2 linked regions of the Oreochromis niloticus genome follow. The protein of the gene in region 2 purifies or fractionates together with the protein of the main gene of each other region. This does not show direct contact. Links are inferred from orthologs where the notes say so. Each region holds a gene or a part of one and is shown on either strand. Other genes may lie near its edges. The genes, in order: tissue alpha-L-fucosidase and mark2b.

Evidence for each region.
Region 1: the proteins of mark2b (region 2) and tissue alpha-L-fucosidase purify together in Homo sapiens (affinity purification with mass spectrometry; 3 studies listed by BioGRID and IntAct, counting the BioPlex papers as one, with this or other methods). This does not show direct contact. The link is inferred for Oreochromis niloticus from reciprocal best matches to the Homo sapiens genes MARK2 and FUCA1.

The regions. Positions count from the first base shown.
Region 1 is NC_031985.2:27,697,695-27,713,760, forward strand, and holds tissue alpha-L-fucosidase, read right to left. Parts: upstream 7,117-16,066; 5' UTR 7,089-7,116; coding exon 6,553-7,088; intron 6,397-6,552; coding exon 6,262-6,396; intron 5,861-6,261; coding exon 5,723-5,860; intron 5,636-5,722; coding exon 5,530-5,635; intron 5,374-5,529; coding exon 5,173-5,373; intron 4,879-5,172; coding exon 4,688-4,878; intron 4,264-4,687; coding exon 4,164-4,263; intron 4,080-4,163; coding exon 3,945-4,079; 3' UTR 3,506-3,944; downstream 1-3,505. UniProt on the Homo sapiens protein: Alpha-L-fucosidase is responsible for hydrolyzing the alpha-1,6-linked fucose joined to the reducing-end N-acetylglucosamine of the carbohydrate moieties of glycoproteins.
Region 2 is NC_031967.2:9,976,355-9,992,221, reverse strand, and holds the start of mark2b (serine/threonine-protein kinase MARK2), read right to left. Parts: upstream 8,234-15,867; 5' UTR 6,957-8,233; coding exon 6,906-6,956; intron 1-6,905. Other genes in the region: krcp (kelch repeat-containing protein), read right to left, coding at 13,909-14,138, 14,611-14,708. UniProt on the Homo sapiens protein: Serine/threonine-protein kinase. Involved in cell polarity and microtubule dynamics regulation. Phosphorylates CRTC2/TORC2, DCX, HDAC7, KIF13B, MAP2, MAP4 and RAB11FIP2. Phosphorylates the microtubule-associated protein MAPT/TAU.

The sequences.
Region 1 (16,066 bases), on a different chromosome or scaffold from region 2:
GCACAGCTCTTGGCTGTGAGCACAGAAGCCCCGCCCACCTTCAGTTCAACCCTTCTGTTTGTGAGAAAAGGCCAGTCAGAGGAAAGTTGGTTTATAGCAAGTTTTAGCTGAAACAAATGAGCAGACAGGTTGTATCAAGGCCCAATATATCATCAAAAGATCAAAGCTATACACATTTATTACATACAGAATGTGGATCCAGCCTACTGAGACTGCTAGCAGTTACATATAAGCATGCTGGATTGCATCAATTCTTCTCACGTACTCGTGTTTAGCTGGAAATTTAAGTTCAGACTAAGGAATTAACAGAGGTGATTATAGTCTTAATACACTGAGCAACTATTGCTGAAAAGCTGAGTCCATATCTAATAAAAGAAATGTTTGCATTATCAAAAGATCCTAATTGTTAAGCAAGCTTCCTTAAATGTTCTTTGTTGCTTCCTCTCTGCCTCCAGAGCAGCTCAGCGCCAAGCAGAAGTTTAACTGAAACTCCAATGTGCCTTTAGCACTGAGGTGTACTTCTGTATGTGTGCGTATTAGCACTGTAATGTCGCTTTACAGTAGACACGGCTAGCCATGCGGATCAGAGAAAACTGAGCAATTACTGTGTAATTAACAAAAATGATACCCTGCCACCGTCGTGTTTACAACAATGTAAATACCTGTTACCAACAGACGTTGCTCTTCTCAATATTACACATATTGTTATTGCGTCATGATTATTAGTATGATTGCTGTCATTAAAATGGTTATTAATTGCCATCCCTTCCATTATTACAAACGGTGTTGTCAGTCACAGCCATGGGGTAAACATTGTTCTATATTCAAGGATGAGTCTTGTGTACAATAACGAAACAAAAACTAGAAAAAAAAGTTTAATATCTAACGAGAAAGTAAATAAATCGCTGCTACTAAGGAGACGGAGTAGAGGAAGAGGAAACTGACAATAACTCTGGGAAGATATTTTTCTCTGGGATCACGGATGGACACTCCCGTGCGGGGTGAGATCACCGAGAGAAAAGTAAGCACTGAACAGGTGGAGCGAATAGAAGACCCAGACCTATGACCTTCTTTCTCCGTGTGCTTTTACTCCACTCTGAACTCTTAGCGCTGCCACAACAGAGACGCAACACAGACTTCAAACTGATAAGATGCTCCACTCTCTGTGTTCTACTCTATAATGTAGCAAAAAACACAATAGCCCCCTCTTCTCCTTCTCTTTCATGTCTCACCATGATTTCTAAATCAGACGGGTTTGACACATTAAGCTTTTCTGTCTTTAAGCTCAGCTTTATTGTCGTGCTTACTTGTTTTATACACGTTCGATTCAGTGCCAAGACAGCATACTGTACAGTTAAAACATTAAATGATTTTGTTTTGCTTTATTTGGGGGTTTTTTGTTTTTCATCCTATAAAGAAAAAGAATTGACTGGAGCATATAGCAATAGAGATGCCATAAGATATGAACTTTCACATTGCCACCAGTGAATACACAACGTGCATGAACACAGCGATCCGAACACGTGCTGGACGGCAGTGGAGGACGATGCCCGGTGTAAATCCTGATTCTGTTTGTTGTGTTGTGCTTCTCATTTTGTACATACAAATTGATTTTCTGGATCTCGTAATGACTCGTGGGTCTGGATGTGTCGAAAGGAGCACGCCTGATAGCGCTGAAAGCCCAGAGAGATGGCACACTGTGACGTGGTTTACCCCAACACAGAATGTAACACTGTCAACGTTGTCGAAACATTTTCTAATGGCTAATATTATTACTATTAATATGATTATTATAAAGCTATTTTAGCGAGGTAAATGAGTGGGTGCTGCGTCTTCTTTGTGTGTGTTGATTTTTCTGATTAATGACCAAATAAGTAGGAGTTATATGTAAAGTAATCTAGACATTATGTGTGTCTTACTGGGAAAACTCCCAAAGAACTTTAGCAACAAGTTTTAAAAGAACCTGACATGAATACAAATGTGATAACGGGAGGATTAATTGCCACTAATATATTTTTATTTATATATACTGTATGTAAAAGACAAACAAAGCAGAGTAGCTCGTGGATCTGATGCCCATCTTCGAAGCAACCACTTCAAGAGGAAGTTTATAAGTTCATTACCAGTGTTGGTCAAGTTACTTGAAAATAGTAATTAGTTATTAGTTAGAAGTAATTACTGATTACTTCTCCAAGACAATAATCTAGTTACTTTACTGATTACTTATTTTGAGAAGTAATTAGTTACTTTATTACTTAGTTACATGATACACAACCTGAATAGGTAATAAACAATAGACCTTTCAGCCCAATTCTATTTTTTCTGCATATTTCATGATATAAAATTGGATCAAATAAAAAAGTCTCTTTTTAAAAATTGTTTTATTAATTTTAATCTTCTAACTTTATTCATCAAGCAAAAATGTAATTATATGCAACATTCTCTGACTTGAAGAAATTTGTTTAACATTTAAACCTGTTATCTGCATACTTCAGCATATAAAATAAAATAATGTTTTGTGTTTACACTCACTCTTTCAAATAGATGCAAGTAAAACACCGCAAAAAATAAATAAAATGAAAGGTTCAGCCGCACTAAGTCCTGTTGCGCTTAAATCTATTTCCACCTGTTTAGCAGGAGTGAGGCCAGTGGAGGTTTATCTTATATTATATCCCTTACTTTACTAGTTACTTGAAAAAAGTAATCTGATTACAGTAACACATTACTGCCTATCTCTGTTCATTACATACTGTCGCAATAGTCTCGACAGTGGTGTAATTTCCCTTTGTGTGACTATACCAGTAAGGTAAAGTGGAAATGGAATGCATTTTCTGAGCTTTTTAGTAGTTTTACATGTTTAAAAAAAACAAAAACAAACAAACAGCTTTTTTCATGATGAATATTTCAGACTAAACTCAAGGGTAAATCACTTTATAGATTCACATCTTTTTTGCAGCATTGATGTATTAACCTCGACAGCACACGGCTAAAATGCAAAGTAGAGGTCAATGATAAGGATTCTCCAAACCGATTTTCCATTTTTCTCGCGTCCGTCACCGCCTGGAAGGATTTACAATGCAAATTCTAAGCAGACCCGATAAACCTATTAAGAAAGGCTAAAGGAGAGGACAAAAACAATTTAACGCTGGCATTCTCTGTCAAATGCTCAGTCCCTGTGGCCATTCACTTCTCAGTTAAGTGGAAAGTCAGACTGACACATTCAGGGGACATTTTTGTCAATTCGCACATCCTAGGAATTGAAAGCAGTCAGTGGTTACTTATATATGAATAAGGACCTCCTGTGGCACTTCAGGGGTTAGAACATCAACGCAGTCATCCATTAGTACAGATGTCATAACATTATCATGCCCCGCAGGTTTGTTACTGTCAACTGAGGCACTGATGCATTAATAAAAATTGAAGGTGCCATTTATGCTTTTAGCAAATCCTAAAATACCTGCTTGCTGACTGACCCTGCATTGGAAGCTTAATAATAACAGAACAATTAGAAGACGAATCAAGTTATCTTTTATTCCACCAATTTTAAAAGGAGGCAAGTAGAAAAAATAAGTGCTTTGTATACAATCTGCTCATTTTCAAAACAAACTGCTGGCATAATGAATCATTTCTGAAACGGCACTCAGCCGAGAAACTGCCAGAAAAGCTCCACAAGCTCAACAGCAGAATCCCGTTTTCATTCATAGACACGCGCTCATGAAAAAACAAACACAACTGAGACACAGTGACAGTAAATCTTTAAGCCTTCAGAGCGTCAAAGCGATCACCGAGGAGGAGTGTTTCATTCTTTCACTCTGGAAATGATACAAACTCATTACACGGGTATTTTCCTTTCAAGACAGACAGTGAGTTTCCCCATTAATCTACAATCATTAAAACCTGAGTCGAGTCATTTGAAATAATTCAACATTTTGGGCGTTCGTAGCTTACTGCACGAAGTCCAGTCCAAGCGTCCATGCCTGAGCAGGAGTGTAAGGCAGCTCTGGCAAAAGGACAACAAGGCCACCACCGGGGTTGACTGGGGCCCAAGATAAAGGTGTAGGATTCCCCACCAAGAACACCTGGACAAGAGATAAAAACAGATCAAAAAAAATAGTTCATGTTTTTCAACTGTGAGTACGACATGGACAGCATTGTTTCTTTACCTGTGTGATGGACGAAGTTTTGGGTGCCAGCAGTTTCACTGTGCTCATCGGGGGTTTGGCTGTTAGGATGGCATAGACTGTCAACCCTTTAGATGTATACCTAGAACAGTGAAGACCATTACAGAGTTTTTTTTCTGCATACAAAAGTACCAGCACCAAACAAAGTAAAAATCACCAGGACTGGTGGACTAAGCAAGGTAACACAGACTCATTGCCTAACTAGATCAATACAGGTGATCATAGCTAGCTTTATTATGCACTTTACTGTGAAAATTCTCAGCTTCCTCACATTGAAACAAACACCATGCTATTTAACATACGTGTTGCCAAGTACAACAGTACTCATCCTGTCTGTATCTGCCCGTAACCTGCACTAATCCTCAGAGCCGATTAGCTCTCCCACTGCACTAAAACTCTCATACAGTTGACAGATTGTGGATAGACTCATCTTGAATCTAGAGAGTCAAGAAAATGCAGTGAAAATACAGTGATGTGATCTGAGTCACATCTCCCTTTTTTCTTACCAAACTGGTACAGTGGTGTTTTCTGACTGCACCCTCCAGGGTTTGGAAGAGTAAATGGCCTGCCCGTTGACCTCCAGCCAGTCTCCAACACCTCTTAGCCTCTCCTCAAACAAAGGGGGGATCATCCCGTCAGGTGTGGGACCCACATTCAGAAGGTAGTTACCCCCAAAAGCCACTGTGCGGACCAGATCCTGCAACAAAGCAACAGCAGACACAAGAGGAAGCAGGCAATAAAACGGTGTTACAGTCCAGATAAGCAAAAGATGACTGATCCATTATGGCCTAACCATCAGAAACCAACAGAACAAAAGGACAGCACACTTGGCTTGGATTAATTGATTAAATACAGCCATTATAATTACAAGAGTATTTCCTGAAGGCTGTACACACAAGCAAAGATTAAAGATATTCTATAACAACCATATACAAATAAAAGCAACGTTAACTTTAAATGCAGAAGCTAATATCTGTGTGCATATCCTCACCTCGATAATCGCAGCCAATGGCAAAAGTTCGTTCATCTTCATGTTTCGACGGTAACCCCAGGAAAGAGTATCCACAGATGTGCATTTCTCCCACTTGTGTGTGGGCAGCTGGCCCGGCGTGTACTTGTCCTCGCAGTTGTAGTATCCGCCATGTTTACAGGCACAGCCAGCTCCCCATCGGTCATTAGTCACAACGGTATCCTAAGAAAAAGAATGAGGACTACTTTTGCTACCTGCAGTTCAATACACCACAGCTAAAATCCAGGAAGCACAGGGGATGTCTTTTTTGCAGCATCTGAACTTTCAAAATAAAAGCAAGTGCACAATCTATGACTACCTTGTCATAAAGACACTCACTTTAACTGGGCTGTCGTTGTAGAGCCAGGCCAAGAATTCGGTAGAGTTCCAGTAGGTGTCAGGTGCTTCCCAGTCTCCGTCAGACCAGATGACTTCAGGTCGATACCTCCAAGGCAACAGGGGAGCAAAGGTTTAAATATACTGCTGGCATACATGTATAAATTGCTGACGCAATATTTTAAGCACCACAGACCTTACAACCATGTTATAAAGCTCTGGAAGTAGTTTCTGCAGCACAAACTCCTGCGTTTTGAAGCCATTCTTCTTGTCAATGAGATAGAGAGGGTGGAACCACTCATACAAGGAATTGTAGAGTCCATAATGCAATGACCTAAAAGGGGAAATTACAGACGTTTATTAAAAAAACGGCAATACGTGCAATTTAAATGACATCACTTGGGAACACATCTGATCTAACCAACAATTACAACTGATACACATGGCTGCACCGTTATTAATGATTCATCTTAACCCAACAATCATCTGTTGGTAAAGAAGTTTATGACAAGTAAGTTCCACAAATATGAAGCTTTAAAGCTTTTCTGCATCGTTAATGACACCTGACTGACAAATGAAGAGCTCTGAACAGGCTGATCGATATGAAAATACAGGAAGCTCTGTAGGAGGAAGGCAGTGGGTTAAAACTCACTGGGCTTCTCTGCATATCAGTGTCATACCATCTGTCAACAATAACCACCTTTTTTTTTTAACATCGTAACTTAAGTTTTTCACCTGTTGCGCACTGCCTCTGCCAGGTCTCCCACCAGGTCCCTGTGAGGACCAGTATCAACAGAATTCCAGTTCCATGAGTTTGGAGACTCCCAGTTAGTAAAGCCTTCGTGGTGTTTGGCAGTCAGGACCACATACCTGCATTGACGAGGGTGTGCAAGTAACACAGGGTACGTGTACTGTGTAATAATAATACTACTACTACTACTAATAATGATAATGATAATGATGATGTGTATACTGAGAGAAGGCGAGGGTCAAAAAGACGATACAATATTAAAGAGAAACACTCACTTTGCACCAGAAGCTTTGAAAATATCCGCCCAATCATCCGGATTGAAGAACTGCGCGTGAAACTGACGAGCAAACTCCGGGTAGGTGAAGCCCGGTGGGTAGTTCTGGGACATGTAGTTCACATATTTCTGGTCCGGGGGCTGCTGGCCCTGCCAGTGCCACCAGAACCACTCGCTGCCAAAGCCGGGCACAGAAAACACGCCCCAGTGGATGAAAATTCCCAGTTTGGCTTCGTCGTACCATGAGGGCAACGGCCTGGCGTCCAGGCTCGTCCAGTCCGGGGTGTAGCGAGCCGCAGTTTGAGAAACAAGAGCAACGACAACAACAAACACGGTTAGCATGATAACAGGTGAGCTTCCCCGCAAACTCCTGCAGCTGCTCGAATGAGGATGTTGAAGGAGCGTCACATTTACAGTTCCCCTGACTGTGTGTCCAGAAACGGAACAACAGGAGTCCAAATGTCCCACAGGCAGCTCGGTAAAACAGCGACGTTTTAGGTCCTTTCCGCTAAACTGTGCCAGTTTTATTTCCGTCATATGACTCGGAGCCACTATCACGTGGTTGAGTTTTTCTTGGGTTTTTTTGTTACAACTTTATTGAAACAGGTGGCCAGAACAAAAAGACACCTGCACATGTAAAAATAAAGAAATACGTATTTGGGTATTTGTGCAGCATTTTTTCTTGGGAATATTGAATCATATATAATTTTTTGTTTTGGACATTATTAAAGAAATTAAAGGAATCTCTAAGAATATCTTGACTTATTCTTAATCAGGAAATTACAGAAAGGCAATTCTTTTATTTTTTGCGTTATTTTTCTTCAGTAATTTTGACTTAATTCAATGTGTGTATATGTATTCATGTATTAATTTATTTAATGTTTTCATAAAAAGTGCTTTAAAAATAACGTTCTGGGCGAAGAGTTTTCAGTGGTCACTCCTTCAAGTGACTTCAGTCTCTGTCTGCAATAACAATAACGGCTCATAACGATCATTAATAGTCTTCAAATTGTTTTTGACCAATGTGTACTGAAACCAGCAAAGTGAATCAATCGTGATCCATCATTATTCGTGTGTTCTCAATATGAGTGGTGCTGTATTGATGGCTCTAGTTTTGCAAAAAACCTGTATTTTATAGACATAACACCTGACAGATGTTAAGGTGAGGGACAAATATGAGTATCCAACATCTGGAGGCAGATTGCTTTTAATGGTTTTGAAGATGACTGAATTTTCCGAGGAAGATGTTCTCTGCACATCTGATTACAAAGAAATAAAAATCCCGATCTCGCTCCAAAACAAAGTGTGTAATTTTGCAAGTCATAAAAACTTAATAATAAACTCGAGGAAACATATTTCTAAGGCATATTTTCTTTACCATTAATAACGAACTTCTCTACATTGGACAGTTTTCTTTGGGAATACCGGGATGCCGAATGGGAATAATTCAGTCTTTACTACCACATTCATGTCTCCAAGTCATTCTCGTTACTGCGCGCAAGCTCCGTCGTGGAGGACTCGATCTGTGGCTCGTTTTGCACCTCACACTTTATGTCCGTCGAGGTGTCCGTGTGTTCTTGGCCGGATGTGTACTCGGCTAAAGCTTCCAGCCCTGCCGCGATGAGGACGTCCTCTCCCTGCGTCTTGCGGCTGTAACCCAGCCTCTTCAGGGTCCGCCGGGCAGTTGCAAGTGAAATGGGCTTCTCCACCCCGCTGCTGTTGTACATGGCATGGATCTCCTCAATCGTAGCCTCGCTGTTGGCTTCCATCAGCCTTTCCAGTCTCTTCTCTCCGTTCTCGTCCACGAGCCGCTTCCGTCCACACGGTCCCCGCTGACTGAAGGTTTTCTGCTTCTGGCACCATTCGCTGTAAACTCGAGACACCGCGGTCTTTGAAAAACCCAACAGGTTCACTGTTTGCGAGATGCTGAGCCCGCCGTCTCGGGCTCCCACTATCATACCCCGCTGAAACTCACTTAAATCCCGAGACTTGCCCATGGTGCACAAACGGTGAGAAGCGCTGCAGATCTAAATACTCATTCTACTTCGGTGGTTTTCGGTACATTGGGCTGGAATAAAGGCTTATTGTCGCCCTCCTGAGTTGCCTTGGTGATTTTTCGATTTTTGCTCTTAAAATATGCATAAAGTCCCCCGGAAAATCAGCTATGCAGCCATACTACCACCAGGCCCACCACTAAAACTAACTCGTGTTCATACACACACACTTGTAAACTAAAATCAGCAGAACTTTAAAAAGCTCATCAGACTCGTCCTGAATGAGTGAGAGACAGTGATCACAAATTAATCCACCAATTCACAAGATGATTTTATGACAAATCATCTCTCCCATTCAACATCATCATCTTCATCAGAAAGGTGGTTTAAACTAGCTGTGACCCAGAGGATTCTGCAAGTCGTCATAATTTTATGTCTTTATGCATCACCCAGCAACTTTTGGTCTGTAGGAGTTATCTTTAAAAGTTATGTGTTATTTCAGTTACAACCAATGTTCCCCCTAAGCTGCACACGTGCGCAATTGCGCACTGCTGGCACGGTCTCTGCGCACAGAAAATCTGTGTTGCGCACAAAAAAAATTAACCTGAATTGAAATTAAAATTAATACTTTAACAATTCTGTTTTGCAGTGTTAGTCAGTGAGTGACTGGCTGCTCCCGTAAGTCCAGCCAATAATGCGATTTACATTCGTATATAAGCAGCTAATCAATGTCGCTGACAGGCTATGACAGCGTCCTTATGTGCCGACACCGGTGTTTTAGCTAGCAAAGCGACGTGGCTGATGTGGAGTGAAGCCACGTTAATGACAACGTGTACAACCATTGGAGATGTGAGCAGGACAGACGGAACAATTGACGGAAAATGTGTGGACTTTATACCAGTTTTTAAATTGTGTTGATAGGCCACTAAAACCAGAGTTGTGATAAAAAAAAATATGCAATGATTGGTTTTCTTCCTGAATACTGTCGTTGTTTATATTTACTGCGGGAAGAAACGGTAAAAACGGCGTTTTATAAGAAAAAAGGCTCGAAAGCAAAAACAAACTCCACCCCCCTCTCCCTTTCCTATTCGTCCAAGAAAGTACCATGTCGACCAATCAAGAAATGATATGGCAACGTGGCATCTAGTTGTTAAGAAACGGGGGGAAGTTTTAGGAGTGACGGCGGTGCTTTGATATGTGAGAGATTTGCGACGTTTAGCGCAAATCTTGTGTAGTTAGTGTGTAGTGTAGTTTTGCTGTGTGTGTCAGAACAATGAGGCGAGTACTGAATGTTACAGGTGTTACAGGAGTGATACATCTCCTGTTGTCAGGCCTGCAGGTATCAGGCTGTTGTTCTCCTTTATCTCATAGGGGACAGAAATTATTTTTTCGAGTGGCACAAATAATTTGTGTGGCATCAGATTTGATGCAGAACAGCTGATTGTTCTGTAAATAGTTTGAAATGTTTATTTAAAAACGCCTTGGCTGCATTAAAAAAAAATAGCTGCAAAAATCTTTGTTGTTTGCCAAACTGAGTTACTTTTTTGAAGAAGTAACTATATAATTAATTGCCCAACATTGGTCATTATATACTGTATTTTGCAGACAGAGAGTTACAGAACTCTCCCAGACTACAGACTCATAATACAAGTCAGAGCTTTTTTTAAAAAAAGAAAGAAAGTTGTGTTTTCAAAATTGGAATTCAAGTTATTTTTACTTCCAATAGTGTTAACATACTGCACAGGTCAATGACTAGATTTTTTTTACATTTTCATTGTAAGTGGGCTAAAGCAGTTAATTAAAAGTAGTCTAACATAAATGTAAATGCTGCAATTTGATTATTTTAATAAACCATGTAACTTGGATGGATTAGATGCTGGCGTGACCACAGTGCACACGTCTGATGTTGCTCACAGTGGTCCAAGGGACCGCTCAGGGAGTTTGTGTGTTCACTCAGACACATGAAAAATTAGAGGGAACATTGGTTACAACTCTGTATTTTTGTAGTTGTTTTGAGAACAAACCACACGTGGATAGGTAAAAACCAGATGATCATTGTTCTAGACAGTAATCGGTTCTGAGGCCAGCAAGCCCAAGTGACAAATAGAGAGGCAAGGCAGAGATGGTTAAGACACCTGCAGAGGTGGATATGGGACTTATGGACAAAGGATGTTAAAGATTGAGCTGTAAGACAGGAGAAAAGAAGCAAAAAATTAAAGCAAAGTGGCCTAATGCTAGAATTCAAAATCTCAGTTTGAGGTTCATGTTGATTCTCTTTCCATTATGAGTTTTTCACATTTCAGCCCAAACCTTTGCTATCTTATTCATATTAGGAGCCTTGTATGTGATAATGGTCAACGGTTGATAGAGACGGCTGTCAGGTTTGGAGTAGAACGTGTTGGTCGTGCTCTGTTTGAACCCATTTGAAGGTTTCTATTATCGGGAAAAAAAGTACAATGCAGTAAAATTATATCGCTCAAAATTAAATGACGTATGATAAAGCGATAGTTCTAATTGTTGCTCCATAACAGTGTAAGAGATACTCCAAGTTTTGACCTGCCAGCATCTTTGCTATGGTGAGAACAAGAACCTGTGTTGAAGTGAGTGAAGTGGCACATTTGGTTCCTGGTAATATTGGACGTTGCTGCAAGAGCAACGGCAATATGCAGCAACATGTTCCTCTCAAAAACTTAATTTCTCTACGTGGTCATATCTCTAAAGGTCAACTTCTCTTTGCTTATAGCAGCTCACGTCACTTACCCAACAATTACTCCTGGCCTTTTTCACCAGTTCTGAAATCTTCATTAACTCCATCCTGTTAAACTTGAATGGCTTCATCATAATGTCTGTATACAATAGAGAGCATTGTATCAAAATCGAAACAGCAGGAAATGACCTCACTAGTGAAGTCTTTATTAGAAGAAAATAAAATTTCAAAACATTAAAAAGTTAAATAAAAAGGCCAGTTCACTTTTTTTAAAGCGTGCAGTTGATGGCCCAATAAATTCATTGCAGTAAATTAATTATTTTTAATTCAAATTCTCATTTAAATTTTTAAAATGTTTATGTATTGTTTCAAAAAGAAATAAAAGTAACCAAAAAAAAAAATCAAAAAGATTAGTAAAAAGTAATTAGTAAACTTAATCCTTTCATGCATGATTTATGACAACCTCAATCAGGATTTTTTTCTTAAGTATTTTTATTCATCTTTAGGCATGAAAAGATAAATAAAAATACTTAAGAAAAAAAATCCTGATTGAGGATTTCTTCATTCATGCATGACAGAGTTAAATAACAATGATTACAATGAAACACGTCTATAGTAACATTAAACGACCAAGGGGTAGCATGGTATAGAGTGACACATCAGTGTCCAATGTAGTGGTTTATGTGCAAGTATACCTTTCCATTTAACTCTGAGATTCTGGAGCATGCCTTGTAGCATCACAGGTCCAGGCTTCCTTAGTTAATAATAACTTAAGGAGCCATTCAGACACACCAGGGAAAAGGCTTTTGTGAAAGTCACCAGAGACCTCGTCCTTGCCTTACATGCAGACCTACTCACCATCCTCATCATCCTTGACCTCAGTGCTGCTTTCGATACCATCTGTCATCTTCTGTTATTACGAGTGGGCAGCACTGGAATCAAGGACAGAGCACTAAAACGGTTTACATCCTACATAGCTGACAGAAAGCAATTTGTTCAAGGCTAGACTGCCCACTCCATATCAGCCCTTTACAGATGGGGTCCCCCAGGGATCAATGCTAGGACCCGCGCTATTTATAATTTAGCTTCTTCCTCTTAGATATATCATTGTCTCTTTGGTTAATCTGCTCCAAATAATTTAGAATTCAGCAGCACCAGGTCCATAAGTCTCGTAAGCTATCACATGCCTCTAAAAACAATTCACTCATTTTATCCTGAATAATACACACAGGTGTATTCTAGTCATTACACCCTTAATAGTGCTATACAATTACATGCAAGAAGATGATGGCTAAGGAAATGGTGGCACAAATTAAAGAGATTAGCCATATATTACAGAGTAATGGCTAATTAGACTTTAGCCATTATATAATGTATTTTGTGCATTAAATACATAACCAACTACTCTGTAAAAGGAAGAAAAGCAGTTGTTTACTTAGAGCAAAAACCTGAGACAGCATGCTGGCACAGATTTGAGCCGACTAACCACTAGAGTGCGCCACAGACTAGTTTTGCACTTGTTGCATATCTTCGTCAACTAGGTCCATTTAAACCACTATATTAACAAGTGACTCCTGGACTGTGAAAAAAAAACTACATGCAATCATAAATGAGATGAAGAGGCATCTGGGAAATGTCCACAGTTTTACACCACATTTATTGCATTTATACCTCGAGTGGCCTCTTTATACCCAAAAGACTTTCAGTATGCAAATATGCTTTTTTCTTCCTTTTGGACAAAGCAAAACATTTAAGTAAACACTGTCTGTCCTCTGCAAGCTCAGGAATCCCACCCTGACAGTCATGTTTTTCTTATGTACAAAATACACAGAAAATCATTTTCCTTTTTTTTCAGTTGTGCAATTATAGAAAATTCAGAAAAGAAAAGACTACAGTGATGATTTAAAGCATCCATTCCTAAAGTTAAGAGTGCTGTGGTCTAACTTAGAAAACAGAAGATCCCATGGGACCCACCTAATCTTAAATCTTCACTCTAATCAACATACAAGAGAAAGTGACACATTTCCTTGTGAATTTTATTCCAAAAACATAAACAACACAGGGGATTGGCTATCAATCTCTAATGCAACGCAGTCATATGCAAACTTCAATACAAGAGCTGTAAATTTAGGTCAAAGTAATGAATAATATCACAAACTAACCACCTCCTACTACCTGTTTGAATTCATTTTTATATAAATAAATACATTTAGATAAAGATGTAACTGTACACACTTGTGAGTAATCACCCTGATGGGAACTGCAGCTGTAACACAAATCTTCTTAGGACAGATTTGTGACAGCATCTTGCACAAGGGTGACGAAACTATTCACAGACAAACATGCAAGCGTACGCCAAAGTGCAACCCCAAGAGTGGATGACCACAGATGCCAGGTTGGGAAAAAAAGTGTTTAATGTTAAACTCCGGGTTGATTAACTCTGATTTTTCAGTTCCAGGGACAGTAATCAGAGTTAGCTCGATCAGCTGTGTGTAAGGAACGACTGAAGAGGTGCTGTGGCTGAATTTTGTAAATTGTTATTAATGACAAAAAAACTCAAGAAGGACCACTTAAAATATTTTTATTATAGCAAACTTCCCTGATATGCTACCTCAGGGTGCTCACGTTACAGCTGCAGTGAACATACTGGGCTGTGGATTACCTCAGTCCAAGTTTAATCTAAGTTAAGTATGTTAAAATGTAATAAAGCACACGACTCCTTCTGATTTGTTAAAGCTTTAAATAAATAGCACCACTTTAAATCATATTTGGCATTTGCAAAGACTTTTCCCATAAGCCGCTGCTTATGGGAATTTTTATAGTTGACTGAAATGGTGTTTGCTCTAGTAATGACAGTGCAAACCCTGACAGCGATCGCCTTATTTCAAATGTGAAAATGTCCATGGTTCAGGAGAGTTAACGTGCTTGGTTGAGACTGTGATAACAATGATTGATTAGAGCGATCGTTATAGTCTTCAGATTGTTTGTTGACCAGTGAGTAGTTAAACAAGCAGAGTGAGTCATCTGTGATCCTTCCCTCATCCTGTACTCTCAGTATGAGTTGTTACCAACAGCCAGGTAGTTTAGACTTTAACAGCATGAATCAAATCTCCTTTGTTCCTCTGTGGAGACTTTTAAATGTTAGCCTAAAATGAGCTGAGGCTACACGGCACTCTGAGCGATGCCTGCTGTCAATAAATGTGTCTGTATCTGCTGGTGCTGTGTTTATGGGTCTAGTTTTCTACAGTCCAGGTCAAATTTCACAATGGGGAAAATAAAGCATCTATCTTTAATATATTAATGGTTATTTTGGCAATTTGAACGAATTTTACCATTTTTATTTTAACATCCAACTTTCTGTTTCGTATAGACAGAATATCTGACAGCTGTTAAGATGAGGGACAAATAAAAGTGTCCAACATCTGGATGCATTTTTCTTGTTAATGGTTTTGAAAGTGACTGAATTCGCTGAGGAAAATGTTTTTTGCACATCTGATTACACCGAAATAAAACTCCTGATCTGGCTCGAAAAACAAAGGTGTATATTTTGTAAGACATCGGCATAAACTGGGGGGAAGGCTTTTAACGAACTGCTCTACAGTGGGCAACTCTGGAAATATCGCGACATCAGAATGGTTTAATCCAGTCTTTACTACTACATTCATGTCCCCAAGTCATTCTCCTTACTGCGCGCCAGCTCCGTCGTGGAGGACTCGATCTTTGGCTCGTTTTGCACCTCACATTTTATGTCCGTCGAGGTGTCCGTGTGTTCTTGGCCGGATGTGTACTCGGCTAAAGCTTCCAGCCCTGCCGCGATGAGGACGTCCTCTCCCTGCGTCTTGCGGCTGTAACCCAGCCTCTTCAGGGTCCGCTGGGCAGTCCTCAGTGAGATGGGTTTCTCCACCCCGCTGCTGTTGTACAAGGCATGGATCTCCTCAATCGTAGCCTGGTTGTTAGCCTCCACGATCCTTTCCAGTCTCTTCTCTCCGTTCTCGTCGACGAGCCGCTTCCTCCCGCTCGCTCCTCGGTCGCTGGAGGTTTTCTGCTTCTGACACCATTCCCTGTGAACGCGGGACACCGCGGTCCTTGAACAGCCCAGCAGGTTCGCTGTCTGTGAGATGCTACACCCGGCGTTTCGGGCTCCCACTATCATACCCCGCTGAAACTCACTTAAATCGCGCGACTTGCCCATGAGTCCCCTCTTCTTCACACTACCCAGGGGTAAATGTGGGAAACCATGGATATTTCCGATGCCAAAAAACAAAACATTCTTCTTCTTTTGTCGTATATCCGGCAAACTAGATGCATTACAGTTGCATTGCTGCCCTCCACAGGAAATTTGAAGAATTGCAACGAAAAAAACCCTGAATCAAATGAATGACATGTTATCAGGCCTTTCAGGCCAAACTTCATGGCATGCTGAAGAGGTAATCAAACCATTTGATTCAGCAGTGTTGGAGTAGGGATGCATCTAAAAGCTGCAGGACAGTAACTCTCGAGGACTGGGACTAGGCACCCCGTTGTACAGGTTAGGTACTCAGAGGGACTGGGGAGCCGGATTTAAATGCAAGCATGATAAAGCGAAGAAATACAAAATGAGCAACATTTGCATTTGATACCAGTTTTTATTTTCAGGCGTTTTCCATTGTGGAGGACGAACGGTTTCAAACCTCATGTGTCCTCCCTAGTAGTAGCAAATGCATAAAAATAAAGCTTTTATGAAAACAGTGAATGAAAATTGCTTTCTTGAAAAAGACTGCATTTACGGTTCAGTATTGAATATTACATAAAATAAACTATATACAAACTGTCTT
Region 2 (15,867 bases):
ATGGTGCATAAAGGGTTTTTGATTGAAAGTAAAGGCCTAAAAATGTTCTTAATATAGCATACACTTAGATTGATTTTTTTTGTAGGTTACTAAATTCCATTTGTAGATCGCCTGGCTTCTGTGCTGGTCAGTACTTCATGACGCTTCAGAGCATACCGATTTCAATCTGTTTTTGGAAACACTGGATCAGAACCTCATACATGCCAACTCCAAAAACTTTGAACTATCCCCAACTGTGAGCCCAGTGACAGTTAAAGTTATTTACATGATTATAGTTCTCCAGGTTTTCTGAAAGACTTTCAAAGTTTTTCTTTGGATACTGGCTGCTGTTTAACCCACTTCCAGTCCTGTCCTTGTACTTGAATGATTTCTGGCCGCAGCACCCAGCCCTAAGCAGAGATGACGTCTCTCTAAGCCTATGACATAGCCTGTCCAGGTGCCTGACGCCGCTCCCAGCATTTAAACCTGTGCGGGTTGCAACAACACAGTCACAATTCTAGGGAAGTCTCCATCAGGTTATGACACAGGTTACACTGTAAGGTTTCAGATGGGTTTGTGGTAATAATGTACCTGTAGCGTTTAATCCACACATGTTAAAGTGGTGAATGCAGCATGAAGTTAAATATTAAGCTGGGCAACTAAAACCACTTTCAAAAACAGTTAAGTAGGCAAATCAAGTTCTGGCACAGCCCGTCTCAGCCTTGGGAAATATGTTTTGGATACTGAGCTGCACCACAACAGCATGAATGCAGTGAAGAGAGCAAAAACAATAGCACTTTGGATGCATGCCTGAAAGCCTTCGTTTTAAACTGAAAGTTGGATTGATGTTGGGTTTTTTTGTTAATGTCAAACTACATAAATAGCTTTACTTCAGGAAACAATTATCTCAGGAAACAATTATAAGGAAGTTAATAATCAAAAATGTGACAATTTAATGATGTTCTCAAGTTTTTAACTTTTCCTTGACACAAAAACCAGGCACACTGGATCACAGGAAGAAATCCAAGTATTCACAGCAAACTGATATCAAGCGACTGAATTACACTGAAGCAGTGAAAGAAACCCACACCTTCACCTAAATGACGTCAGGCTCTTCAAATCGCACATCTACAGTTGGCCGCCACACCTACCACTCTGCTCAACTGGTAGGGCCTGTTTTACCCTGTTCTCTCAAGACACAAAACACACACACAGACTGAGCACCAAATTTCAGTGCATGTCGGTCAGATCCCTCGGTAGCACCTACACCCGGACCTTCAGGTATAAATGCACTTGCAGTTGACTAACTGAACGTACCCAGTTGTAAGGGGAAAATGAGAGACTGCTTGTGCGTGTGTGTGCGTGTGTGTGTGTAGGCAGGAGCAAATCCGAGTGTGAGGAAGTAAACGCTCGTGTGTGTAAGGCAGGTTCTCTGTTGCTAAGGCCCTGGCCAGCTTTGTCTCTCTGTTCATCTGCCTAGTGATGGCTCTAATAGGGAGCGAGAGAGACATGGTTTATGGTTTCCTGGGCATTACAGCAACTTGTGTGTGCATACATGTGTCCTATAGCTTCTTTACACGACGACTCATCCAAAAAGAGCATGAATGAAGAGATGAAAAAAAAAAAGAAAAGAAAAGTGAACACACATCAAGTAAACACACTCACACGTTCAGTGGTTCTTTCTCATCTATATTACATTTCCAGCTCCCCAGCTTGGTAAGACATTCTTGCCTTCTTTCATACGCCCGAGGTATCGAGTGAAAAGCGTCAAACTGTGCTCAGCTCTACTCTTATTTCCTTCATGTTTGCTGTTGTGACGCTCAACAAGATTTTGAATCTGCAAGCATCACTGTTTCAGTTCTCGTGGCGTTTACAAAGGTCAAACTAAAATAGAAACTGCTGCTGATGAACTGTAACAGTTCAAGTTATATTAACCATTGGTATAAATCAATAAACTGATTTCAATGACTGTTTTTGGTACAAAAGTTACGTTTTCCACTCACTAACTAGAAGTAACCTGGTGTCTGCCAGGACAAAGGACTGACCAATGTCAGGTTAAACTGCAACCCTGACCAACCTAAGCCTGGAGAGTTCCACAACGGCTTTGTAGATATATTGCTGGGAACCCCATGAAGTTCATGCTGATTATGGTTTCCACAGGTAAAAGGATCAAACTATCCATAAGATTTTGGGGGATTTGTTTACAAAACCTGAGCTACACTCACATCTTTTCATCAGGATCCTTTTAAACTGTTTTGAAGTAGTTAAAAAAAGTTGTCCTGCTTGGAATAGTTAGTAAGTATTAAAAACAGTCAAAAGTAACTGTCTAATACAGTTTAACCCTCAGTCAAGCTAATATCCATCCACTCAAGTTCACCAATTACCATAGGCTCAAGGCACTGCTGTCAAGACTGAAAGCAATGCCAGACGTGGTCGACGGCCTTCAATCATTCACTAATTCGGTGAACTCCAATCAGTCTGATCCAAACAAGCGCGTTTTCAACTGACGTTGCACCAGTCTCAATCACACTAAATGTCAGAAGGATGCTCAATGATTAACCCAGCACTGAAACACACTTGACAAAGGCGGTATGACAGGAGAAATGACGGTTCATAAAAAGGCTTACGAACTGCATTTGTCATTAATAGCTGTTTAAGATAAAGCATATGAACATGCCTGAAGTTTGAAATTTTCCATAGTCCCGTGTACACGACAAGAAAAGAAACCGATACGCCGATGATGATATTCTGTACTGATACCATTTTTAAAAATAGCTGTGCGCCCCAGAGCAATACAGATATTTGTTTGCTTATCTTGTTGTTTATTCCTTTTTTTTTTTGCTTGAAAAAAACAAAAAACAAAAAAAACAACAAGTTTAAATTCTTTTGGGAGCAAAAGTAGAAAAAGCCAGTGCAAAAGTGGAGTTACACAACAAATAAACAGAAAACTAGATCACTATGTTCCATCCCATTGTGTCTGCCCACCACCTCATATCAACCACAGTGAGCTACACAAAACATGTTTATGTCTGATCTGAAGGTGAGGAAATTCTCCCCACACATTTTATAATGATTTTAATAAGAGTGTGTGAGTGAGGAAGTAACATCTGCATGTACTGTTTAGTACATCTGGCTGGAGGTGGGCAAGTGCTTTATCTCCTATTGTGCTTTATTTCCTTGTTCCTTGTTGTAAGTCCTTTGGGAATAAAGACTTGCGTAAATAAACCTCATGAAAACTCAATAAAACCTCTAACGCCACTTCCAAATCTAGTTTAGTTAGTTTTACATTTTCTCCCAATGACCCAATGAGGAAATGTTTCAACTTTGACAAATTAATAGCTTGGCTCTATAATGTGCGGAAGATCCGGCACAGTGTGCAACCATCCAAACAAAGAAGGATGAACTGACAGACCTGAAGAGCCATACCAGTATTTCTAGCTATATTAGTGGGTCAGAAGACATGGCTTAATGAATAGAGGGAGAGCACTGTAAAACAGGAAATCAGACAATTGAGTGATCATGTCTAGGGAAGTGGACAAACTGTGCAAACTTGTTAACAAGATGACTTGTGCCAAAACCTATTTCAAACTGCACTCATGTGATATTTTAACACCAGGTAGTTTAAACACAAAAATACAACCCAACATGTAATAAACATGCATTTATCCTGTTGTTTAACACTGAAGTGTTGTTATACTCATGTGGAACACACAAATAAGTTCCTCAAACTAACGGCAGGCCTGAAGCCTTGCACAACGTGGGAACGTGTACGATCAAAGCCACTCAACATATCTGCCATTTCACACTGTCAGAAAGATGTCATAAGTCACTTCTCTGTATTTGACAGCTCTCTAATTATACGTGCGCAGCAAGTGTTCATGATGACTGAATGGAAAACTGTGTTGGTCAGTAACTTTACTCCACAATCCCCCCAGACCTGTAGAACCATTAACTCACAGATTAGCTGGCAGTCATGTGTAAAGAAGGAAAAAAAGAAAAGAAAAGCTTGCAAACTCTGAAGCCAAGTAAAGCAGCTCCCAATTAGGGTCCCTCAAAATATTAAAACAAACCACTGCAATCAAGCCGTCTTTAGCAGATACAAGCGGATCATAACCTGCTCGTGGGTTGAAAGGATCAAAACCTACACTTAAATCTCTGACGGGCACAGAGAGACTCGTCAACACTCAGCCCGTCCTCATGCCCGGTGCCATTTTGTCCCGTATCTTGAGACCTGACACCAAAGGCTTTCTATACATGGCCTTTAAAGACAGACTGGACTTGTGTGGGAGTATTCATCCATGGCCTTTTGCCTATAAACCTAGTTAAGAATTTGCCATGACCCCAAACTTTTCTCTTTTTTTTACCCCTCAAATCCACCCCTAAATCCTCACTGGATGCTGTGGGACGAGAATGGACGCATTCAGAACAACAGCGGGATTATTTCAAACCGACATAAGGTCAAGGCCGCACAAACAGCGTCCGACAACAAGTTCAGTTTGAGGGGTTATTAATCGCCAAGGTACCGCAGTTAGGTATTACACTCTTATGAGCCTGACAAGATATCACAGGAGCACTTATCTCCCTTCCTGCTTTGTGTGTCCTGTGCTACAAACTAAACACTGCTCCATATTCTGCCGGTTATGTCTGCTTTCAAGTATTTGCCTATCAGAATGGACAATGTTTGATTGTCCATTCTAGACCTGACTAAAGTGGAGCCAGGTCTGACGTTTTAATCGACCGCTTCTCTTTCGCCAAGGTCCTGTGCAGAGGCTGTCACACTGAACACAGTGAGGAAGCTTCTGCTCATGACTTCGTACGTGTCTGTCTTACAGCAACATGTCCAAAAGTGCCCAGCTTTCACTATGACGTCAACTTTTAAGATCCCACTGGAGATGGAAATGCCCTGTCTGTTTGTACTGTACGCAAAAGGCAGCTACAGTGGATGACTCTACTGCATTACTGCTGACCTTTGTTCTCATAAGGGTGTAGCTGTGTACGCATGTCTCATTGTCACCGTGTCTACTTATTTGCCTACATATGAATATAAGCTTATGTCCACTTTTCTTTACATCCTGACGCTGTTTTTAAACGACAACTCAAAAAATAAAGGTGAAAAAGTCTAAAAGTTTTTGTTTGGGTGAAATCTGACTGATCATGTGGACTCATTAGGAAGCTGGTAAGTTAAAGACAGTTTGTCTGATCAGACATTTGCATTCTTGCACGTATGTCCATCAGGTAATAAGTAGAAGAAGTTGTTTGCAGCTGCACTGCATGTGTAAGAAAAAAAAGTGGTTTAACAGAAGTGGCGACAGGCAGTGGTACACGTGCATTGTATCTACTGGCAAACTTATGTCAGCATTTTTGCTTTTATGGGAAGTAAAGACAGAAAAAAATATCTTTGAACCCTTCAGTGTTTACTACCAAGACACACTCCTATTGGCTGATAAAATAAGTTCTGTATTTTGGTAGAGCCATGCATCAGCAGTTCACACTGAAGTTTGGGGTTTTCGTCGTTTCTATTTAGCTTGACAGAGTGCACTCTAGCACTCCCCTTATTGTGTTTCTTTTGTGTTACAAAGCCACACATCTAATTTTTCACAAAGGTTTCATTAAAAATACTTTGCACGTCAGAAACAATAGTTCTATTTAAGTTCCCACACTCGTCAAAATTGCTGATCAGCTGCTAAAAGCAAATCCTCACCACAGATGCATTCGTAGGGCAGCACCGCAAAGCGGGTTTAGCTTCAAACGCTTGCTGACATCATCCAGTGGCTACACTGTCAATACCTAGACAATTTTCTTTTCCCATCAAACATTCAGAGATTTTAATGAGGCAAATACCACGTGATGCTGAACATGGACTGCCCGAGTCACACTCTTCACTAGAAACTATAATAGCTTTCATGTGAGCAAATGCGGCTTTCTCATAATGGAAAGATAAAACTGTCTGCAAGATTAAGACAGATGCGGCAGATATGGAAGCTTAGCTTCAGCTTTCTAGTATGGATTTGGAGCACATACCTCAAAGAACTGCTAATCAAATGTATAGAAAAAACAGGGTTCTTGAAGCGGGAAACCATATCTGCACAGCGTCTGCAACTGATGAATCTCAATTTTTATTTCGGTTTTTTTGGGGAGCTCTTTCACATATGGATGGGGGTTAGCAGGCTTTTACTAGGTCAGAAGATGTGTATTGTTTGTACAGTCTGAGTGCCTTCAATCACCCCCCTATAGGCCTACTTGCAATCCAAGTTTCTTTTTTTCCTTTGAACTATGACCTACAAGGGCTTTTGACTCATTCCTTAACAGTTTATTGCCAATAAACTGAGGATATATCCAAGCGCAACCCTTCTTGCAAGTTTTCATTTGAAATACAAATTCTCATTTCCATTTAAATGCCACTTCTTCTGTCTGATAGCTCTGTGACACATTTAAGCCAAATAAAGACTGCAACAAGCAAACACCACAATTTTCTTCCAGAAGGACAGGTAAGTTGCAAATTAGCATAAATAAATAAAAAAGAAATATATATGTCTCCATCAAACTTTGTGATAAAGTAATGTGTTGAAAACTTACTTTCAGCTTTATGATTGCCTGTATTGCAGAAGGTCAAAAGTGACAAAAAGTCAAGTGGGAGGACATGCCTAAACACAGACTAAACAGAAACCTAAATTTGCTCTGCTATCCTGTAAGGAGTGGGAAATCCAATGTGAGTGCGTAGGCAAGCTGGTGAATCACTGCTCTGTGGCAAAGACAACAGAGACACAGGAGAGGAAGGAGAAAAAAAAAAAGCAACCAGAGACAACCAAAGCCTGTAAAAGGCCAACAAGGGCCTCTCTCCCCAGCAGATAAGAACTTAAAGTAATTTTGTGGACAAATATCACAAATAATCACATTTCTAAGATTAATTTACAAGGATATCTTACCTGCCCGGTCGAATTTTCAATGACTTGAACCAGTGGGGGCCTTGTTGACATTTTTGAAGGAGTCTGTGTTGCCAAAAAATAAAAATAAAAAATGGAAAAGGAACCTTGAAACTAGTACGATTCGTCAGTCTCTGCTGAGCATTTAAAACTTGTGTAGTTGATAGCTGAGGAAAATCTCCAACAGATGTCCAGTGCTAGCCAGCTAGCAGCGCGACAGACAGCCTGTGAATCAACAAGTTGAATCCCACCATCAGCGGCTAGCCGAGTTAGCCAGCTAGCTCGAAACTAGCTAGCAGCAGCAACCGCAGGTCTCATGTTTGTCAACAAGCAGAAAATGGGGAAAACTAATGTTTTCTTCAGCTCCGGCCTGGGTGTGAAGGCATTCAGTTCCCAGTTCAAGTTGATCTGCGTCGATAGCGAACAGTGAGGTATAGCACGGATGTAAGACGCGAGCTAACTACCTGGTGCTGTGACGTTTTGACCAGCTAGCTACTTATGCTAGCCTGAAGAAAAAGTTGGGCAATGGTTGTATTGAAAGAAGACAAGGTTCAGATAGGTGGCTATCGTGCCAACTTGTAAGGTCGACAACTGAGGTTTGAGGAACCAATGACCGCTTGCCAAAATCTACAGCAAATGTTGACACGGCGTCGTTTTCATCGCGCAGTGTCGCCGTTTGTCTTTCTCCTTTTGTGGCAGAGATGTTTCCTTTTAGGTCTTCAAACCAGTTCCGAGGTCTACAAACTTTCAGGCCAAAGTTATTTCCCGGCGAGGTCTCGACCTTCCCAACTCTCACAAAGCAAATTCAAATATTCCCAGTGAGTTATCCGGGGCCAGGGTATCCTAAAAATAAAAGCAGCACCTTGTAAAATGGTCACATGGCAGGTGAGAATCACAAATTAATTTGTTGCGCTAGCTAACTGGTCGACATTAGCCCATGTAGCTAGCTAATTCAGGGTTTCTTTTGAGGTAAGGCTAGCTCGTTAGCTTATTCCCCAGCGACCGCAGTGGCGGTGACTGCCAGAGAGCAACCCACAGAGCTCAAAATCCACGGAAATCACCGGCGCTCTTCCTTGTGTTGCGTGATTGGAATAAGGTCGTTCACCAGTGCTGCACTGCAGTGTGGCGATCTACCAGTTCGTCCTGTCGGTACACCGACTAATATTCCAGTCACCAGCCGACCAAAGGAGGAATCATCAAGTTGTAAAATCCATTATCAGCAAAGTGGGCTTTTCTTCCTCGGAGGTGCGTGTCACGGGCAACGGGGAGGGGGGGAGAAAAGCGAGGAGCTGCGCCCGAATGCAGTCTATGCGCACGATCCTGCCCTCATACCGGAACAAGCTCGCGGCAACATGGCTGCTTGCTTGCACCACGACTTGAAAGGGGAGGGAGGGAGTTCTGAGTTCGGCTTCACTCGATTTTTTCCGAGCCTTTACCGCTGAATGACCGCAATTCCTCCATGCTGGTAAATGGCAGGTGCGGGAGACTGTAATTGTTCTCCTCCTCAACTTTGCAGGAATGAAGGCTCTGTTACAACTCCAGACATAATGGAAGAGAGAAACCTGGAGCCTCCGGGGTGCAAAAGTTCACCGGTCTTTCAGTTCATTTCCTCTTTTTTTTGGTTTATTGATTTATTTAAGTATGCCGATGAATATTTTATCGGGCTCTTTGCCTCCTGCATTGTTAATATTGTGGCAAAGTCTTTTACAGAGCGCTCCTGACAAGTTAATGTGTGCATGTTTCTGCTTCCAGCTGTGATGGAATTTAACCCACCCAAGTAAGTCTACTATCTTTAATTACAAACATGAGAAGCTTTACTCGAGTATGTCGGATTTATGCGACTTTACATTTACTCCACTACATTTCAGCGGGAGAGATTGCACTTTTTTACTACACTAATCTGCATTTAATGGTCAATACTTATAAATGTGCTGATTGGAGGAAGTTTCTGCTCTTTACAGATACTACCAAAAAAACCCCAGAGAAGTGCCTACAGCATGAATGCGTGTAGTCCCATGAACACTGATCCCCCTTTCAGTAAAGCCAAAGAGAAGCTGGACTTTCGTTCAGTGAGTAACTAGTATTTCCTCATTATGTCTGCGCAGATTAATTTCACCTGCAAACAGTCCTATGGACACACGCACACACGCCTCTTTCCGCTCGTCTCTGGAAGCTCCAGTTCTGCAGGCAACACCTACAAGAGTTGCCAGATATTTTTACCACTGAGTCACATCCCTGTTTCCTTTCATCTGTCACACGTTTAGTTTATTCCCATCACACCTCTAAGAATTCCAGTACTCATTTATTGAGGCACACTGTTACAGTGCAGTGCAACACTTATGGAGGGCACATAAACACTTCAATCTTTAAGCCTAAAACTAGCCTATTGGCTAGGATTTGATATTTTGGACTAAAACAATAATACTTTGGTTGATATTCAAATCCATTTGAAGATTATTTTTTTTTAAGCAAATTAGAGAACAATACCTCTTGGCAGCCACAGCTGTAAAAATAACATGTAAATAGAAACTCATGCCATCTAAAAGTGTGAGATGCTGACTGCAGGTACAGACATTTTCAAGTTACTTAGCAACAGCCATAGACTGACAAAGGTAATATGACTTCCACTGGAAGTAGTGATGCCACAAGTCTGTCAGCTGGGAGGTCGGCAGAGGTGCAATATGAAAAAAAAATAACAAATCAGCATTTGAACAATGTGAGGATGTTGTGCAAAATAAAAAAGAAGAATTCAGGATATGAACGGGTATGAGAAGGTTGTTGGGGACGACTGGGAGAGCATCCAACTGGCAGGATTTCCCGATAAACCAAGGGGGAAAAAAATCACCTCCCTGATGATGGAGGGAGAGCACTCCAGGGTATGTGCACTGGGTATGTTCCAGGAAACAAACCCGCCTGCTTTTAGCATATCAATCTACCCTCTATATATTTAATAATGAACCTTGTTAATGCAGAATCACTGCACCTTTCAGTCAGTGCATAAACCTGACCGAGTCACATCATCTGGATCATGTCCAGTTTCATGGTGGATCAAAGTAGAGGGATGCCAGTTTGGGGGGGGGGGAAATGTCAGAAAGCTATAGCAAAACAGTAAATATGTAAACTCAGTGACACCACAGTCTTTTTTTAGACTGTACATGGGCCATTTTAACAGGAGTCATGCTGGTTACAGACAAATATGTGCTGAAGTGTCGCCATCTGCAGGAGGCCTCCTTATATTACATCTATCTATCTATCTATCTATCTATCTATCTATCTATCTATCTATCTCATGCACATTTGCACTGAAACACATTTTCTGGCTGCTGTACAGAAGAAACAACACTCTGTGTAGGAGGCTGAGTCGCAGACCGAATTGCACTAATCTAAGCATATTTTAAGTGTCACTGGAGGAACATTAAATAAAATATATCAGCCTTTGAGTCTCCAATTACTATTTCCATGTGCCAAATGTATGTGGCTGCTTTGAGGATGTAATATGTAACAGTTATTTTTGATATGCAGTCAATAGTTTTCCCAGTAGAGCACGTAAAACAACAAACCGTGAGCACTCTGTGATCGTCGGGCTTTTACAGCAGTTCTGCTTTTCAGCAACTCCCCTCTGAAATCCACCTCAGCCTGGGTGTGTGTAAGTCAGTGGAAAAATACAGATCTTTACTATTACAGCACCTGATTAAAGCAGCACCCTTATTTAGTTATTTTTTCTTTCACATGGTTACATATGAACTGGTCTAAATCCACTGGAGCATGAGAAAAATTAAATTTTTTAAGCAATTATTAACTATTTCTTTATTTTGATATTTCAACACTGTTATATAACCCATGGCTCAAGTCACTCCATGCATGACATGCATCTATTTGGAGCTACTGATGTTGCAGTTTTGTGTCATACTTCATAGTCTCCTGTTCTCGGACAAATTCAAGCATTATTAACACCCACACATATGTTTCAAATAGTTCTAATTAACACCTGTATTCAGTGTAAAGGTATGCATGCTGGAGTGCTGTGGGCCATTAAAGTGTAATATTGCTTATCCACCATGTAGAAGATTTAATGAAGCATCACAGGGGTGGCTATAAAACAAATGGAGCGACTCCAAGGAAGCCAGGAAAAGAGTGGAGGACACAAACATCAAATTAGTGATTCCCTTAGAACCATCATTCCTTCTTCAGCAGTCGGCTGGGTGAAAATCCTGCCCTTAACCTTAGCAATTTAGAAGCTGCTGACTCGCAGCGTGGGCAAAAGTAGTACGGAAAGAACCAAAGCCAAAAACCAGGCTTTTTATACACACTGTACTCTAATCGCAGTAAGTGCAACACCGTGTAATTAGATAAACGGATTGAAGCACATTACCATTAGTTATGATGAACATAATAAAGACTTGTTTTGTGGCCCATTAAGCACGATGCATAGCAACACGTTTTATTTTTCTAATAGTCTGTGAAATAATGAAGTGAGGACGGTTTTATATCCACAGGTATGAAGTAAAATATGTCGAGGAAGTCGGGCTTTCCTTTGTATCGCCACAGGAAATACCATGGAGTAGGTGAAAGCAGTTTGATGGCCTCCAACCGATTCTGACCAGTTTGTTTTTGAGTTTTCAAGGTAGAAAAATTGCAGATGTCTGCCTCCCTCAGCAGATGTGGCACCTTTTAAGAGACACTTTGACAAAGATATCTATAAAGTACTTAAGTCTTAATTGTACATAAAATATAGCTGAATTTTCCTGTTGAAATATTCAGTTGGATGGTCATTAGCTAAAGGTTTGATGTACATGGAGCAGTCCTAGAACATCCTGTCTCAACGATGCTGAAAAGCTATTCTATGTGTTACTTCTAGGCTGGACTAATGTAATTGTTTATCAGGTTTCCCTAAAACAGGGGTGGGGAACTCCAGGCCTCATGGGTCGGTGTCCTGCGGGTTTTAGATGTGTCCTTGATCCAACACAGCTGATTTAAATGGCTAAATTACATCCTCAACATGCCTTGAAGTTCTCCAGAGGCCCGGTAATGAACTAATAGTTTGATTCAGGTGTGTTGACCCAGGGTGATCTCTAAAACCCACCTCTGCCACCTCAAGGAGTTCCCCACCTCTGCCCTAAAAGATCTCAGAAAAGCCTTCAGTTGATCCAAAACACTGCAGCAAGAATCCCGACAGGGACTAGAAATTGTGATGATATCACTGACATATTAGTTTTTCAAGTCGCATGTGGTAGTTGGAGGTGTTAAGACTAAAGTACCATGTTAAACAAACAGAGCACTTCACTGTGAGAATTCAGGCTGACTAGAGTTTCTAAAACATGAATTGGAGGGAGTCTTCAGCTACCAGAATCCAGACAGCCTCTCTACTTTAAATATTAGGCTTCAAACTGTACTTTTTGATAAAGCTTATCGTTATGGCTGGATCAGCTGACTCTGGCATGTTCACCATACATCACATATCAGATAAACATGCAAGTTTGCTAACTTTTGCATTAAATAGCTGGGGATGATGTGGATCGCATTTCTTTTGCAGGTTGGCCATGATGACGACTCACGCTGAAGTCTTTCTTAGTGCTGTGAGAACGAATCTCTGTTTTAAATTAAGTGTGTATTTACTGACCTCTGTTAATCTCAAGTTACCCAACGTGGGGCTGCCTGTTTAATCCAGTGAAAAAAGTTCAAACACAGCCACAGTCATGACACCGTTATCAGGAACCGAGCGGATATGAACTTAATCCCTCCCACGCTCCATTAATCTTTTATTAAAAAGTCTCCATTTAGCTCTGGTTCTCTGAAGATAACAGTGTCACGCTGCAGGTCTCACGTTAGCTTGTGTTACTGTCAAGTGACCACAGCAGCATGAACAGTCTTTTCTGTTCAAAGCTGTCAAACCCCTTTTAATTGATGTTGGTTTGATTTTGTATAAAGTATTCCTCATGCAGTAATGCATAGACTGTACAGAGTCTACTCTACGTACAATCCATGTGGAAAATAATATGTAACTGGGTTTAACTTAATATAATATTAATATTGAGCAGAAAAATGGCTAAAACAGGAGTTATTATGCAGCTGCGTACTTTCATTCTTGGGACTCTGCTAGAGTAGCTTTGCATGATTCATAGTTCAAAATAATCCTTGTTTATTTTATGTAGGGCGTCAGGTGCATCCATCAATTCATACGCTGTCTGATACAAGCCATTATACCTCCCTTTGAACCAGCTTCCACTGGCTGCAAGAAGTTTTATATGGCAGGTAGGTGGGACATTCTGCCATAATGACCATATTAAGGATATCTGCTCTGTCTGACATCATACTGATCCAAGAGGTAAAAAAAACAAAACAAAATCTGAAGCTGGGTGTATGTATGATGAACCAGTATATGCACAATTAAAAAATAACATAAAATAAGGGAAAACACAATAGTTAAACAATAATTACCTTTTAATGTGTATTGAGTAAAATCAGAAAAGCAAAATGGTACAGCCCAGTGACATGAATAGAAAATCCCCCCCCCCTAGTTTGGAGATGATGACAAATACAAACAAAAGAAGGAATAAACATTGTAAAAAAACTGCAATGCACTTACATATATCTGCAAGAAAAAATATATATATTCTGAACTAAAGTAGAGCCTCAGTTTTTAAAAAACACAATCAATATAAACCAACATTTTAAAAAAAGTACCTGAGGAAAAACAAACATATTTACATCATCAAATCTTCCCTTTGCTTTAAAGCAGATATTGTTTTTATGAGTGGGAGCTCCATAATGAGAGAAATCTCTTTCTTAATCCTTTTTTCACGACACATTGATCTTTTGAGGTCTCTCTTTAGATGCTCAGATGTATCAAATAAAACTGGTGAAACCTTTTAAAGCGAAAGAAGAAAGGAGACGTTCAACAGAAAAGGAAAAAAACCCCACAGGATTATAAATAACAAAGGGTGAGGGTGTTAAAATAGCTTTACATCCAGTGAGGCAGAGAGTATTCACCTCTGACTCGCTCTCTTTAAATAGCACCGAGCAGCTCCTCCACGGCGACAGTCGTCAGGTCGGAGTAGAAGTTGCCCTCGTTGTCCCCGCCTCCGAACACCAGCAGGGTTCTGCCGCCGTTCATAGCCGCGTCTTCATCTTCCTCCGAGAAGCAGCGGTGACCGGCCGTCTCCATGGTGATGATGGAGTGCCCCGCCCTGGGTACAGACAGCTCAGGCACACTCACCTCTGTCCAGCTGTTGGTGTCTGAAACAGCAAAACAAAGGCATGAAATTTTTATTTTTCCGCTAATTCTCGTTTTTACACTTTATGTTCAGAATAAACTCAGTCAGGTGAAGGTGGCGGTTAACACATTGTTAACATAAACAAGAAAATGTCAATTTAATTTTTTTAATACTCTTTTTTTTTTATCATACCTGGTAAAAAAGGCTCAATTTACATTCTAGAAGCTGCTCAAAAATCGCTTTGACATACTTATGTAAGCTACTTTATTGTTTATATGTCTGTGCTTTTATTTTAAATAGAGATATTTTTTTGGCATAGAACCAACCGGACTTACAGTATGGACTGTGCAGGAACAGTAGAATAAGCCTACCTAGTTTGGGAATTGCGTTACCAAAACCCTAAAATAATTCTGTCTTGATCTTAAATCCTCTATCAGTCAGACGCTGTCATTAACAACAAAAGACTACTTTTCAGAATCCAAACCTCTGCTCACCTATATCAAAGATGAAGGCGTCACTGAGGGCATTGTTTCCGTTGTAACCACCGTGGATCAGGAACTTTGTGTCTGACAGCACAGCGCTGCCGTGCCAGCTGAAACACACAAGCACACAATGTTCACATTTAATTTCAAGTTGCTTAAAGGTTCTCGAAATTACTGCAGACGATATTGTAACAATCTCTGCTCTCATTTTAATCTCCAGCCTTATTAAAATCTTATTAAACCTTAATTTGAGGAACGTAAATGTCTCCATAAAGCCTTCATTTGTCCCTAAATGTTACTGCTTGTGTTATGTTTATAATACAGCTGCGCCTACATAAAAGAAAAGCAGCTGGTCTCAGAGGCTAAAGTGTGGAATTAACCGAGCTATCCACAAATATCTTCAGTCTTTCCCCATCACAGTACACGATGTCCCCACCTGGGTAAAGACATCCATTATAGCACATGTTCCCAGACAGTTTGTAGTAAATTGCCTCGGTAAGTACAGGCCAGAGGCTGTAACACTAAGAGACTGATCCTCAAATACATCAAGCACACTCTCCCACCTACTCTGGACCCACATCAGTATTTATAGAGAACCAATAAGTCAACAGATGTTGCCATTTACAGTGTCCTCCACACCACACTATACTATACCACCTGGAACACAAGCGTTCAACACAGTCAGCCCTTCTAGACCCTTTCATCGTAACATCTGCCCACTGACTCTAGCTTTCTTGAGAACCTGGCCACAGTTGATCAGGATGGGTCCCCCCACCACCCCTCCATCCTCTCCAAAGGAGCACCACAGGCTGTTTTGAGCCCTTAATAGCATCTCACAACACAATGGCACCATTAAGTTTGCAGACAACACACACAAAAAAAAAGAACTGATCACTGGAGGAGACACAAAGAAGTTGACAGACTGAAAACAACTTGGCTCTGAACACCAAAAAAACAAAACAAAGAGCTGTTCATTAGTTTCAGGAGAAATCAGAATGACCATCTGTCACTGAACATAAATGGAGAGGACGTGAAGAGTCTTTAGTTTTGGGTTCCTGGGAACACATATCACAGAAGATTTCCATGGACACACAGAAGGCACTGCCTCATTTAGGAAAAAAAAAGTCTGTTTTCTGAGAACTGATGAAATTAAATCAGCCTCAAAACCTTCTGGTGTCTTTCTACCTCTGCACCACTGAAAATATCCTCACAGCATCCTGACACGGTACCCAAACGGCTCTGCAGCAGATAACAAAGCGCTGCACAAAA